2 linked regions of the Drosophila melanogaster genome follow. The protein of the gene in region 2 interacts with the protein of the main gene of each other region in a pairwise test. Each region holds a gene or a part of one and is shown on either strand. Other genes may lie near its edges.

Region 1 (6,765 bases), on a different chromosome or scaffold from region 2:
ATGCGTTTCTGGCTAATAAAACCCAAATGGCAATAATCGTCAAAAATAATGCCGGCTAAATGCAATCATAACATAAATACAGCGACACGCTTTGTTTTCCTTACGAGTATTTTCACTGGGATCTGGTTGGTTTTCCCAAACTCACATAAGGACGATACAGATTTATGGTCTTGGATTTGTTTTTATGGAGCAAGTACTTCCGTTGTCCTTGTGCTAGTTCCTCACTTAAGTTGCCACTGCTGTAATTGGCTAGGCAAACATATAAACATTTATGCGTATGGAGAAGTTGGGGAATAGATTTCGAAAGTCCTTGACTGAGTTGGCGAAGAGTTATTGAAGCGCGACATGAAGAAAAGCAATTTAAATGGGGTCACCTGAATGCAAATAGCTGGCAGATTTTGAAAGAAGCGGAAAACTCGAATATTATCTTTCTTGAATTATTAAGCATAAGTAAATCATACATTTTTGGAATTTTTTATATATTTACCATTTGTCAGTGAAGAATCTAATAATTTATCACGCTTTCTGAACTTTGAAATGTTCAAGAAAATTCAAAATATTTTACACGCCTTTTTTAATTTATATATATGTGGGATATATGGGATATATACCATTAAATCAGACATTTTAGCATTTTATTCTTATTTATATTTATCATATTTATTTTAACATTATGACGAGTTAGATCTTCCACCTCTATTTAAATGTTTAAAGACGCATTAATCTACGAATCTAACGAACTTAATGACTGCATTAGCAAGATCTCAAAGTATCTAAAAAACCCACACTTTCCAACTTCCACTTCCACTCCAAATATCAAGATTTAGCCCGCCATGTGAGGTGTAATTTGCTAATTGTACTAATTAAATCGGCTCGCCTAATTATAGTACTCAAAGCTTAATCATCAAACGAATTTATCTCCACATTTTGTTTCTATTTTGGAAAGCAAGCATTTATGATTTGTTGCTGGCTGCTGGCTTCCACTTTTTACACTACCCACGATTACTCACCGAGCTAAATTTTGAGATCCAAATTTGCCGGCCGTCGTCGTTGCCTTTTGGTTTGGTTTTTGTTTTGGTTTTTGGTTTTTTTAGCCTTTTGGTTTTTGTTTTTCTTTTTTTCCTACTTAACGATCCCACAGCCGATCTATATTTATTGTTGTTGTTCAGGTTGCGATTGTCTGGTTGGTTGGTGAGTTCTGATTCTGATTTTTTGCTGGAGCAAAATTTGAACGCTTGCGAAATTGTTAAAAATAAATATGTTACTTTAAGAGCGCACGATTTTCCGCGACTAGCCGTCGATTTCGATTTTTCCTTCGCTTCTGGCCGGCAATAATAACAGAAAAAAAGGCGAAAAAACCGCTGAAGCCGACACAGAAACAGAAATAAACTCAACACTCAGCGTTTCTCGGCGGGAGGGGGTATAGGTATAGGTATTATGGGTGTTATAGGTATACGGGGGCCATAGGTATTATTTTTTGCGGATCGACTGGACACAGCGATCGCGATTTGCTTTATTTGTGTCACTTTTTTCGTGGGTTTTTCTTCGGTTTCTTTTAGTTGTTGTTGTGTGTCTAAAGGTGCCGCTTTGTTTTGTTTATATACGCTGGGATCGTGAGATCCGAGAGATCTAGAATTTCCGGTTTTTACAGCGCAACTTGCAGTTTTTCTTCGGTTTTTTGTTAGTTTCCTCCGCTGAACCAGCAGATTGCCAAATTAGTCCAACTGAGCGCAATTAATCAAACGTGATGATTGCAAACTTTGAATAGGTTTTGTTTTTTTTTTTGTTGACTAGTCTGAAGACCAATGTCAAATTTTCCAATTTTCTTTCGAATGATTTCTGAGTGTTCTGTGGTGTTTTTCTTGGGTTGACCAGCCGCTTCCACGTTTTGCACGAAACTGAAACGTAAAATCTGCGAATCGCTTGCCACAGCTCTCGACGTCGACGTCAGCGTCGCAGTTGGCAGCACAGTCGTGGTGGTTCGGAAAAGGGGGCGGCCTGGTCGGGAGGGGCGGGGCAGTGGGCAATGATGACGATGGTAATAATGATGCTTCTGCTGGCAGCCAAGGGGAGAGGGAGAGATGGCTTCGGGATGCTCGCTTGATAGTCGGATGTGTTTGTGTTTGCTCTCCATGTGTGCAGATATTTGGTTTTGGCCAAGTGTCCCGAGTGCCGTTCCATTTGAGGGCCTAAACGCTTTGGCGGCAACAGGATCATCGCCATCAGGATGGCGGAGGCGGTCCGGAATCACCGATGGCGATAAGGCGGCCAGCATGGTGTGCGCCCTAATTGACAACACCATCACGGAACTGAAAGTCTTTGCAGCGACCAAAATCTACATACATACATATATATATAATAATTAATCTAGAAGATACATACATTGACAAAAAAGTAGATATTTTGTCGCTGCGAAGACAATAATTTACATATTTTAACTGTTCTTATCATATTTTTTTTGTGTAATAACAACTTTCATTACTATCATAAATAAGAAAATGCAAAATTATATTTCTTATGAAATATCTTTTTATCTTTTAACAACGTTTAATAATAGATTTTATAGACGTTTTTATCTTACGATTTTACCTGATTATTAAATAAATATAATCCTAATGTTGGGTAGTTTTTGGATTGGTTTTTCTTTAACTGCTTTAACAGACACATTGCCTGCGAAAAGTCGGAAAATTGTAATAAATGTGGGATTTTCCCAAGTGTAGGAGTACCAGCAGACTTTTCGTCAGCAGTGAATTTTTAAATATTCCAAGAAACACTTATACCTATTTATGTTTGTGTTATTTCAACAAATATTAAGACTTTTGGTTATTATAGTAGAGATGGAAAATAATGCATACAGGATGTAATTCAGATATGAAATACATACATGATGTACATATTGTACATAAGTTAACCCTACGATTCAAGCCAGAAGTCGTTTTAAATCAAAAGGTTTATGTGTGTTTTTATGGTGGGGGTGTTTTTCCTCAGTGTCTTGTTTGTTTTCAGTAGACTTTGCGGCAGCGCCGATTCGTTGCTGAGAAAATCTAGAAAATATGTTTTGTGTATTTACGAGCCCTCTGTTTCGGTTTTAAGCAAACAGCGAGCGCGCCTCTTTAACGGTTTTCGGGTGTTGCGTTCGCATGTTTATGCACGTTGATTTCGCTGGCCGTTGTAATAAAGGCCAACAAGGTCAGGTGCAAACGAAATGCGAGTACGAGTGACGCCTGCGTGCCACAGTCTCATTTCAGGTGCCGCATACAATTGCCGTGTGCATTTCAATTTGATGTTATAATTAAGCGAAGGCAGGCACGAGATGTCAGCAAGCTTTGCGTTTACGTTTTCTGTGCGCGACTTTTTTTTCCCTATTTCACTATTTCGTTTTGAGGCTGCTTCAGTCCTGTTTGTCAAGTGCAAGGACACTGCATGCACTCACCTCTTTGAGTGGGCGTGGCAAGTCCTGCCCGCAGACCGGAAGCCGAGTCATGGTCGCCGCAGACTGTAAGGCATAAAAATGTTAGTATCCTTGCCGCACTAAGTATAATTGTGGGAAACAACTCACTTAGCTTCCAGCTGGAATACAAACCGCAGCCGAAATTTGCGAAGACACTTGCGCTGACTCTGCAAGCCACTAAAATACGTTCCAAAAATATATGCCACAAATCCATTTAAGGAAAATTTTGTTTATTCCCAATTTTTTGAATTTTCCCCCCTCGAAATATCGATGTATATGTATTGTCAGTTAAATGTTTTGAGTTGTCTGTACCAGATGGCGCCAGTGTTCTGAAATTCAATTTACTTTTATTAATGTATAGCATTAATTGTAATACTCTCTGCAAAGCCAACAAGATTTTATTTTTCATAAATTTTTTTGTTTTATAAATCATAACGTATTTTATTTATAATATTTAAAAACGGTTTTAAATTTCCCATTAGGATTTTTTGAAATGTCAGGACAGTGCCTAAAAGTATGCAACCTCATATGCAGTTTGGTATGATTTCCGAGCCGGTTGGTATATTTGAACGATGACGCCTGGTCACACTGCTACAAATGTCTTTCGCATAGTTTAGTTTATTATTACGCGCAAACAACAAATAGCTGACCCTTCAAAAACGAATTAAACAGCGAACATGCAGTTCTCTTGGATGAAGGTGGCCATATACCTTCTTACGTTCCTAACCTACGCCTATTCAGGCTATGGATCCAGCACCATAGTCCACGTAAGGTGCACCGCTTCTCGTAGGAAATCTGTGAGAGCTAGTATCTGTTACTCCTGTATCTTCTCTCCCCGGATTTAGCTAAGGGATGCCATTATAGCCGCGGAGGCGATCTTTGGTGACGTGTTCAAGAACCTGATAGTGCTGGTGCGCAAATTTCGCACGGTCCACGAGGTTTTCGATGCGGCCGTGGACGAGAACTGCATATACCAGTGCCCCGCACCGGATATCGGAGGACCAGGTGTGGTGACGCACTGCGCATTATGTAAATTCCCCAGCATCCATATGTGTGTTTATCTTACAGCGCCCAGAGCGGTTCAGAATAAGTTCTATACCCCCACCGCAGATGGATGTGGTTCCTTGGGCCTGAGGATCAGCACAGACTATCTGCCGGCCAAGGAGATGGAGACATGTTGCAATGACCACGATATCTGCTACGACACCTGCAATAGCGATAAGGAGCTGTGCGACCTGGACTTCAAGAGGTGCTTGTACAAGTACTGCGACAGCTACGAGAAGTCCATAGCCAGCGATCTGATGATGAAGGGCTGCAAGGCGGCTGCCAAGATGCTATTCACCGGCACATTGACCCTGGGATGCCGCTCCTATCTGGACTCCCAGCAGAGATCCTGCTATTGCGCCCCGCCGAAGAGCTCCTCCTACAATGGCAATAGGCAGGGTAATAGCAATAGTAGGGAGAAGCAGCAGCGCCAGAAATATGGCTGGAAGGATCGCAACGAGATATAGTACAGGATCACTGGCTACGAGGGTGCGGGGACCTGGGGGTATCGGATTAAGCGTTAAATGTTTTATGTGTTGTGTTAGTCTATGAATTGGGTAGCCATGTCCATTGGACTCCCTTTTTGACGAATTTCATTATTGTATACCAAATAGTGGCATGCCAACGGTCCAGACTGTTAAATACATTGATATTTTTACCTATTATAAAGATGCTATATTTTTAAATCAACTGTGCGCTGATTAATCACCGGTGGCTTATGCTGACGTGGTCCTTTGGGCAGGATATGTATATTATTTATTAATCATATGATCGACAAGTGTGTAAACATATTTTAACCAGGACGATGACGTATTTAATTTGTTAAGCTGCCTGGCCAAAGCTAATTTAATAGTACAAATAAATGAATGGAGATCAAACAAGAATTCTATTATATCAAAAATTTTGACTTTAAGTCAAACTTAAGTTTAAAACTAAGGTGGAACAGAAAATATCTCAATATTTTCAAGCTAAACAGTTATTTTAAGAAGCCATTTCTCGCGGATTACAGCTGAAGTGCCATCCTAGCTTTCCAACACTACTCAGTCACACTACACAACACTGCACTGACTGAACCGAAAAAAAAACACACAGATTTTGCAATCCGCAGAAAAGAATTATTAATAGTATTTTTATGCGGATGGCCAGCGTGCTGAGGACCTAAGATGGGCTACGATGTGAATCGCTTTCAGGGGGAGGTGGACGAGGAGCTCACCTGTCCCATCTGCTCCGGAGTGCTTGAGGATCCGCTGCAGGTTTGTTTTGTTTGCAAAGAACGCACACCGCGAATCATACATATGCTTTAAATACAAACAATCATACATATCTACCGATTCAGGCCGTGATGTGCGAGCACGCCTTCTGCCGCGGATGCATTAACGAGTGGCTAACCCGCCAGCCCACTTGTCCGGTGGATCGAAATTCCCTGACTACTGCCAACTTGCGGGCAGTGCCTCGCATATTGCGCAACCTACTGTCCAGGTGAGAAAAACCCAACGCCTTCTACTCTGTGAACCTTGTGGACTCTAACTAATCTTTGACCCTTGCCAACCAGACTGTCAATCACCTGTGACAATGCGCCTTATGGCTGCACGGCTGTTCTCAAGCTAGACGCCTACAATTCCCATTTGGACGAATGCATTCACAATCCGAAGCGACCATTTCCCTGCGAGAAGGGATGCGGCTTTGACATACCCAAGGATGAGCTAAAGGACCACAACTGCGTGCGGGAGCTGCGCACTTTAATTGTCAAGCAGACGGAAAAAATGGGTGAGCTCAAATCGGAGCTCACCGACCAGCAGCTGACTATCAACGAACTGAAGCGCGAGCTGCAGCTATTCAAGGACTTTATGCGTGCCATGCGCGTCTCCAATCCTGCGATGCGGGCCATAGCCGACCAGATGGAGCGCGACGAGGTGATCCGCTGGAGCAGCACACTGCCCCGGGCCAGGGTTACGCGCTGGGGGGGAATGATCTCTACGCCCGACGATGCACTGCAGGTGAAGCCCAAATTCTAAATTTTTTTAAAACGTTAACTCACTTTTCATTTGATAGCTCATGATCAAGCGCGCTTTGTCCGAGTCGGGCTGTCCGCCACACATCCTGGATAGTCTTATGGAGTTCTGCCACGAGCGACGTTGGCCCCGTGGGCTCAGTTCGCTAGAGACACGTCAAACCAATCGTAGGATCTACGACAACTATGTGTGTCGACGCATTCCAGGTAACAATTTTAAACATAAATATTAACAACAAGGCTTTATCTTTAAACTTAC
Region 2 (7,041 bases):
GATCGACAGGAAGCCACAGCTCTCACTGGACACCACCCAACCATCGGCAGGTGTGTCTAAGTTATTTCCGTGCCCAGCATTGATGGGCACTATCTTGCCAATGCATAGCGGCCTATTTCCATAGGTGTCCCTCACGGCGTAGATTTTGTCCTTTAGCATGATGACCAGCGAGTAGGAGAGTGGCGCCAGCATCATGAAATGCCTGATCCTAGCTGGCCAGTTGGGTCCATCCAGTTCGGAAACATCCTCCGGGGCGCAGCACAACGACTGGGCGATCAACTCACTGTCGCTGTGCGTGGATAAGCCCACGCCTCTGGCCAAAACCTCCCTTCTTAGAGATTCGTTGTTAACAAGCTCACCATTGTGGGCCAGGGCCAATGCTCCATGTGTCGTATGTACCTCAAAGGGCTGACAGTTAACCACTCCGGATCCGCCAGCGGTCGAGTAGCGTGTATGACCGATGCCCAGGTTGCCACGAAGCTTCTTCATGGAGTCGTCGTTGAACAGGGTGCTGATCATACCCATGCCCTTGTGCACGTTGAAGTTCTTGGAGCACTTTCCCTCGCTGGTCGCTATGCCCGCAGACTCCTGCCCACGATGCTGCAGTGCCACCAGCCCCAAACAGATCACGTGTGCAATGTCCATTTGGGTGGGCCAATCTCCGCAAGCGATTGCCCCGAAAACGCCGCACTCGTGCGTCAAACCGGTTAGCTCCTTGCTGGCCGAGATGGATTCCGATTCCATGCTGGAGGTCACCGCCTCAGCTGGTTCCACCTGTTGTTGCTCGACCACGCGCACATGTTGTTGTTGCTTCTGCTGCGACTGTTGTTGTTGCTGTGGCGCTGACATGTTGCTGCTGAAAAATCGGTACAATATGCTGGTTGAAGGCAACTGATTGCAGGCAGTGGCGCAGTTGACGCCGATCTGATTTACCTGCTGATTTACGCAACGGTTTTATACAAGAAAAATCCTCGCACGCTCGCACGCGCAGCTCAGTTTTTCCCGAATCGGTCGAGATCAAGCCCAATATCGATCGGTCGCTGATATCGATAGTGCGGTGTGCTGATGGATCGATAGCATTCTATAGTCTGTATTTTCAAATTGGAATTTTACCTAATTTGTAATTTAGTACACAAAACAATATACACATTATAATTTGATTTTATTCGTTTATATAAAATATACGCAATCAAACTAAATAATAAGCTTTAAATTGAATTAAAGTTATTTTGCGCAATTAAAATTAATTAAAAATTGTATGTGTATGTTCGTATATATAATATTTAACAGTTTTTTTTTTAACACGTAGGCAATTAAAACCAGAAATATAAAAAATGTTTCGTGAAATAAATAAATAATAATTAACTACATATGTATAACAATTGAAAATAAGTTCACTGCAATCCCTCAATAAAAACGCCACTAAGAGATAAATATATTAGAAAAAATTCACAGTAGGAACATTTTTACAAAAACGGTTTCTTTTATACATTTGATAAGTATCAAACTGAAATGCGATTGGTTCAATTTGTTGGTGTCATTATGAGCAGTAGGAATTTAATGAAAACGTTTAGCTTAAGTACTTGATTCGATATTCGAATTCCGCTTTGCACATCGCGCAAATTGAGAGATAAGATAACTGATGGAATAACTATTTCAAAGCCGTGCGAAGAGTAGTAGTGCGTCCTTCAGCAAAGCCTCCTTTTCCAGACTGACCTACGCCATCGCTATTTCGACGAGCAGAGCTTCTCCGTAAAGAACGGAGCCTCCTTCAGCTTGGCCTTGTCCGCCTCGTCGAGGAACGCCTTGGCCTGCTCGATGTCCCCGCGGATGGCGGCAATCAGTGACTCCAGGGAGTCGAAACTGCGCTCCGGTCGCAGGTAGCCTACAATGCATATCTTGAGTGTCTGGCCGTAAAGGTCACAGTTAAAGTCGTGTAGCATGTGCGTCTCCACGCTCTTCTCCTTGTTGTTGTAGAAGGGATTCCAGCCGATGCTGAGGACCATCTTGTGCACGGGTCCATTATCCACGTTTGCCCAACCGTAGTACGCGCCAGTGGGCAGGGATTCCGGCAGCGATTTCACCACCTCCAGCGGAAAGTTAGCTAACAAGTGGTTTGGTTATCAATTAGAAATGACCTTCGCAATTCGCCTAACGTCGCCACCAACCTGTTGGGATGCCCAGCTCTTTGGAGCCGCGTCCGAAGCCCCGAACAATCTCGCCCCCAGCGAACAGAGGCAGTTGGCTCAGCATTTCCCAGATTTCCTTGCAATCTGACCCAGATCTGCTGTGCTGGCGCTTGAAATGAATATCAGGGGCCAATGGGCGGTTGATTTGCGGTATTCTGTGCAACCGCAAAGCGCTGCGGGCCAATTTATCGAGTCTGGCAAGGAGTCAAGCGGGGTTTTCTACAGAGTACGTATGTTGTGATTGCCGCGTAGCCACTCACATAACTATTCCTCGTTCCATTGATCGGCATAATATTCATAAACACACAGACAAATTTTCCGCATTCATAAAGCGAATCAGCTGTTGCCTTCGGGCTGCCAACCTGTTTCAGTTATATAGTACTGTCAATTAGCGAATTTTTTTTACTAGATATTTAAATTGTAAGAAACTGAAATGTATATATTACGCACAGTATGGTTTTAATCAATAAAGCTTGGGTTTATATTGTAATGCAGAATTAATGTAATTGGATTGATTTTAAAATTTTAGCGGCGGGTTAAACATATTTTCATCAAAAGCTTTTATTTGCTGTGTAGAGCTTCTATTGAAAATATTGAATTTTTATTTCATAAATGAATCATCAGATGTTTTGTGTAAATACTAGTACTCTATTCCCAAAATAAATAGAACACCAAATCGTAATTAAATTACAATGAAAGCCAGCTTGCCTGAAAAATATTTGTGTTATTAATACAAATATACATACATATATACATATATATACATATATACATATTTTTTCATATCATATCAATCTCAATTTTTTTTATTCTGAATAATTGTTTTCCATGTGTACATGTATTATTCAGCACTAAAAAAAATGTACAAATGATCAGTGCGACGGTTGGTTTCTTTGCAGTTCCAGTTATCATCCAATTCTCCAAAAAGTGAACACTTACACTTGTGTAGAATGAGAAATCAATTGAACTCTTTAAAAAATGTGCCGTTTATTCATATAATTTACCAGCAATAACTGTAAAACCAGCGAAACGGGATTATTAGTTTGCAAAACAAGGCCAATGTCAATGGTCAATTCATAAGATGTCGTAAACTGTTCTTTTATTAAAAAACATTGCATTTGGTTGTTGATTTAGATGATGCACAGCGCGAAGAACGTGTGCCGGACTTGTATGGACGAGACCGGCACCCTGGTAGATATATTCGCCAATGTAAGGGATCCTGTGCTCGACGAACCGGAGATGAGCCTCTCGCACATCCTGGCCAGGTGTACCGAACGTCCAGTGAAACGCGGCGACCTGCTGCCGCAGTTCATATGCGTTTCCTGCGTCCTGGCCGTGCAGAATGCTTTCCGGTTCAAGTGGCAAAGCGAGCAGAGCTACCAGCACTTCTTCCGCGTCCTAAACCAGTCGGGTGCTCCGGAAAACCAAGTGCACTTAGCTGCATGTAATGGGGATAAGAACCAGATAATAAACCAGAAAATGCAGCTCAAAAGCGATCGTCAACAGGATACGCAGCAAATGACAAAAACGCAGAAACCAGATGATGATCTTAGTCAAAAACAAACACTCCAAGCGAAGCTCCAAGAGGGAAATATTGATGGCCCACCGGAGTCCTTCACCCTGCATCCTCGTAAGCGGACTTGTCGCACAGAAGAACAGGCAGACATGATCCCAAAGGAAGCTACAAGGTAATGCAATTTGTTATAAATATCAAGCCTCAAGATAGACAAATAATTGAAAAATTATAAAAATTTGAAGGTACATCTTTGATTACTTATACTTTTATATGAATAATTAAAAATAACTTAAATAAGCTTAAATAATTATATTCCCGATTTTCAGAAGTACCAAAATGATCTGCGATGCCGATGGCTACTACAACTGCCCGCACTGTTCTAAGCGATTTTGTTCCCAGACCCAGTTAAGGACCCACATCACCGATCTGTGCAACAGGTGTCCCTACTGCCCACGCACTTATATGCAAAAATCGAACCTCAAGCGGCATTTGCGAAACCACCTAAGCAAGCCAGCGCACAAGTGTTTCCACTGCTCGAAGGCTTTCATGCGTAAAGATCACCTTAAAAGGCACCTGCGCACCCACGACAGTGACGGTCCGCTCTCCTGCAGCCAGTGCTCAGCGGTATTTATCGAACACGTTCAGCTGGAAATCCATCGCAGAGAGCACAAACAAAGGCCGGGCTCTTCAAAATCGGAGTCCACGAAGGATCCTGACTCGGACGACAGCGATCAAGCGCAGGATCTAAAACCAAAGTGGACTAAGAACACCTTCAATGGCACGTGCAGCATTCCACCTATGCTAAAGCCGTGAGTTTGGAACTCCACCAGTCTTATGTAATATAGTTATACCTGATAGTTATACTTATACCCTAGTACCGCTGAGAAATTTGTGACGAGCGAAGGTAGCGTATCTGACCCCTTTATATTCTTAATCGGAACCACTAGCCGAGTTCATAAGTTCTCATCAGTCCGTCCGTTCGTCTATTTTTCCGTCTGTCTGTCCGCAGAGATCTCTGGAATTAAAAATCTAGAAAATTAAGGTTTTGAGTTTGTTTCAGACCTTTAAAAAGCCAACAAACGGACATTAAGTTATTGTTTTCATTTATTCTTTTACTTAAATTTTTGGCGATAGCCATTTCGCCGAAGAAAATTTGAATAATCAAACTTTAACCAAACTTTAAAATTGTATACCCGTTACACGATAAGTAATAAAAAGGTTTACTAGTAGAAGGAAATAATAATCTTGCACAGGATCAATAGTCTGTCCGTCCGTCTGCGTGTCCGTAAGAACGCCGTGATCCCGTTAACTATAGGAGCTAAATCCCTAAGATTTAGTAAAATTTATAGAAATAGAAAACCCTCGCACTTTTACTAGCTGATTAACGGGTATCTGATAGTCGAGGCGAATCAACTAATATCATTTGCTTCTATTTATTTAACAACAGGAAACCGATATGCGATATTTGCCAAAAGAAGTTCAGTAGTGTCTACGCCTTGAAGCGGCATATGCTTACTCACAATCGCCAACATCATCTTAAAAAATGTACCTATTGTTCCGAGGAGTTCAAAACAGAAAAACATCTCAAAAGGCACGAGCGTGGTCACATGGGAGATCTGTTTCGTTGCGAATTTTGCTCATTGGTATTTGTAGATGTTAACTACTTGCGAAAGCACAAAAAACGCATTCACAGCAACAACGTAATAGCGATGTAGGAGAAGATCATGTCCAAACGGGTGACTACCGGTTATACTCTTGGAAAACAACCATTGAATTAAGCAGATTAATATATGTGAAAGGAATATAAACGATTTATTATTCATTATAATTATAATGACCGCAGGTCTAAACTTCTGTTGTTGATTCTTACTTTGAATTTTCTTAAATATGATTCTTTTGTTACTTTCATAAGCTCAAAATTAATATTATTTAAGTTTCGTTTTAATTATATATTTCACAGAAACTCAAATATACTGAGAATAAGCTCTAAATTTATATTATTGAAATTTCCTTTTAATTGTATATTTCACAATACATTATTATACTGAAAATAATTAAACAATCGATTGATTGCTACCACATGCTACTTAATGCCTTCTTATATATCTTTAGAGCTTCAAACTTTTTTCTTTTAGCTTTGTTGTGGTTTTGCGAGAACAAAAGGAAAAATAGACAAAAAGAATGATCCATACATCATGAAAACAACTAGTATGCTTTATTATTAGTACGTTTTGTTCTTAATATAGAAAAAAAGGGAATATATATGCTTTATGCTTTATGGACGTGCGACTATATCAAATGTAACGTATAACGTTAAAGGTAGTCTGTGTAGTATTAATACACAATTGTAAACGAATTCAATCCGTTAAAAAACACTTTGGTGAAATTGTAAAGCTTTTGTATGCGAACAATTTAAACAAAAAAAAACATAATCTTCTTAAAACTAACTAAAATACTTCGACTCACATCTCGAAGAGTTTCTTTAGCTCCGCGAGGTTGAGACCACCGCCAACACATTTGGTCACTTCTCCTCCTTCCTCTGGAAGCACAACTTTCGCAATTTCTAGCTTGCAATCTTGCAGGGACTTAATTCGTTGCTCTACAGTGTCCTGGCACATGTAGCGGTAGATGAAGGTAGGCTTAGTTTGACCATATCGATAAATGCGGTCCTGAGCCTGTCGCTCCAGCTGCGGGTTCCAGTGGAGGTCCACAATTAGCATATGATTGGCCACGTTCAGATTCAGTCCCACTCCGCCAGCGGTGAGGGAGAGTAGAAGAACGCGCTTCTCGTTATTCGCGTTAAAGTCTCGCAGTACAATCTCGCGTTCTTTGGCGGTCAGCTGGCCATTAAAGTCAAGTGTTTCCCATGATAGATCCTGCAGTCTTTTACGGACGATTGCGAGATAGCTTACCCACTGAGATGTAACAATGATTTTGTCGTTGGTGCCTGTGAGCAGTTCCTCTAGCTTATCAATGACCATCTTTAGTTTGGCAGAAGGGCGTATGAACTGAAAGATGGGATTCTGGGGATTGAGCAGTTTAAGAGCTCTGGCACTATCTAGTTGATCCTCAAAAGAACTGGCCGTTGGCAGGTCATCACCAGAATCCCATGGCACATTCTCCTCCTTAATTTCATCTTTTATCACTTCCAACTTGAAATTGCCATCTCTTCTAGTACTGTCCTCCTCGTCACAACAGTCATCTTCGCTATCGGTTTCGTCAAACTTATCCAACTCGGCAAGGACATCCATCTTGAGCTGGCCCTCCACGTCTGAGGCATCCACCTTCACGTTCTGGACGTCCTCGGCGGTCAAAGCACCACGCAGCATCTAACGA

What was found.
Region 1: the proteins of kipf (region 2) and Pka-C3 interact in a two-hybrid assay, tested with the Drosophila melanogaster proteins (one large-scale study listed by BioGRID).

Annotation. Positions count from the first base shown.
Region 1 is NT_037436.4:15,951,092-15,957,856, forward strand, and holds the start of Pka-C3 (protein kinase, cAMP-dependent, catalytic subunit 3), read right to left. Parts: upstream 3,707-6,765; 5' UTR 3,666-3,706; coding exon 3,560-3,665; intron 3,497-3,559; coding exon 3,434-3,496; intron 1,903-3,433; exon of another isoform or gene 1,011-1,902; intron 1-1,010. Other genes in the region: GXIVsPLA2, read left to right, coding at 4,129-4,218, 4,297-4,456, 4,520-4,962; elgi (early girl), read left to right, coding at 5,659-5,748, 5,832-5,974, 6,048-6,492, 6,548-6,713. UniProt on the Drosophila melanogaster protein: Does not have an essential role in development.
Region 2 is NT_033777.3:7,910,761-7,917,801, forward strand, and holds kipf (kipferl), read left to right. Parts: upstream 1-3,090; 5' UTR 3,091-3,323; coding exon 3,324-3,877; intron 3,878-4,031; coding exon 4,032-4,514; coding exon of another isoform or gene 4,515-4,518; exon of another isoform or gene 4,519-4,609; intron 4,610-5,152; coding exon 5,153-5,420; 3' UTR 5,421-5,693; downstream 5,694-7,041. Other genes in the region: Prat (phosphoribosylamidotransferase), read right to left, coding at 1-849; Rfk (riboflavin kinase), read right to left, coding at 1,728-2,104, 2,169-2,253; CG10445 (uncharacterized protein), read right to left, coding at 6,168-7,034. UniProt on the Drosophila melanogaster protein: DNA-binding zinc finger protein that recruits chromo domain protein rhino/rhi to specific chromatin regions enriched in H3K9me2/3 histone methylation, mediating piRNA (piwi-interacting RNA) biogenesis.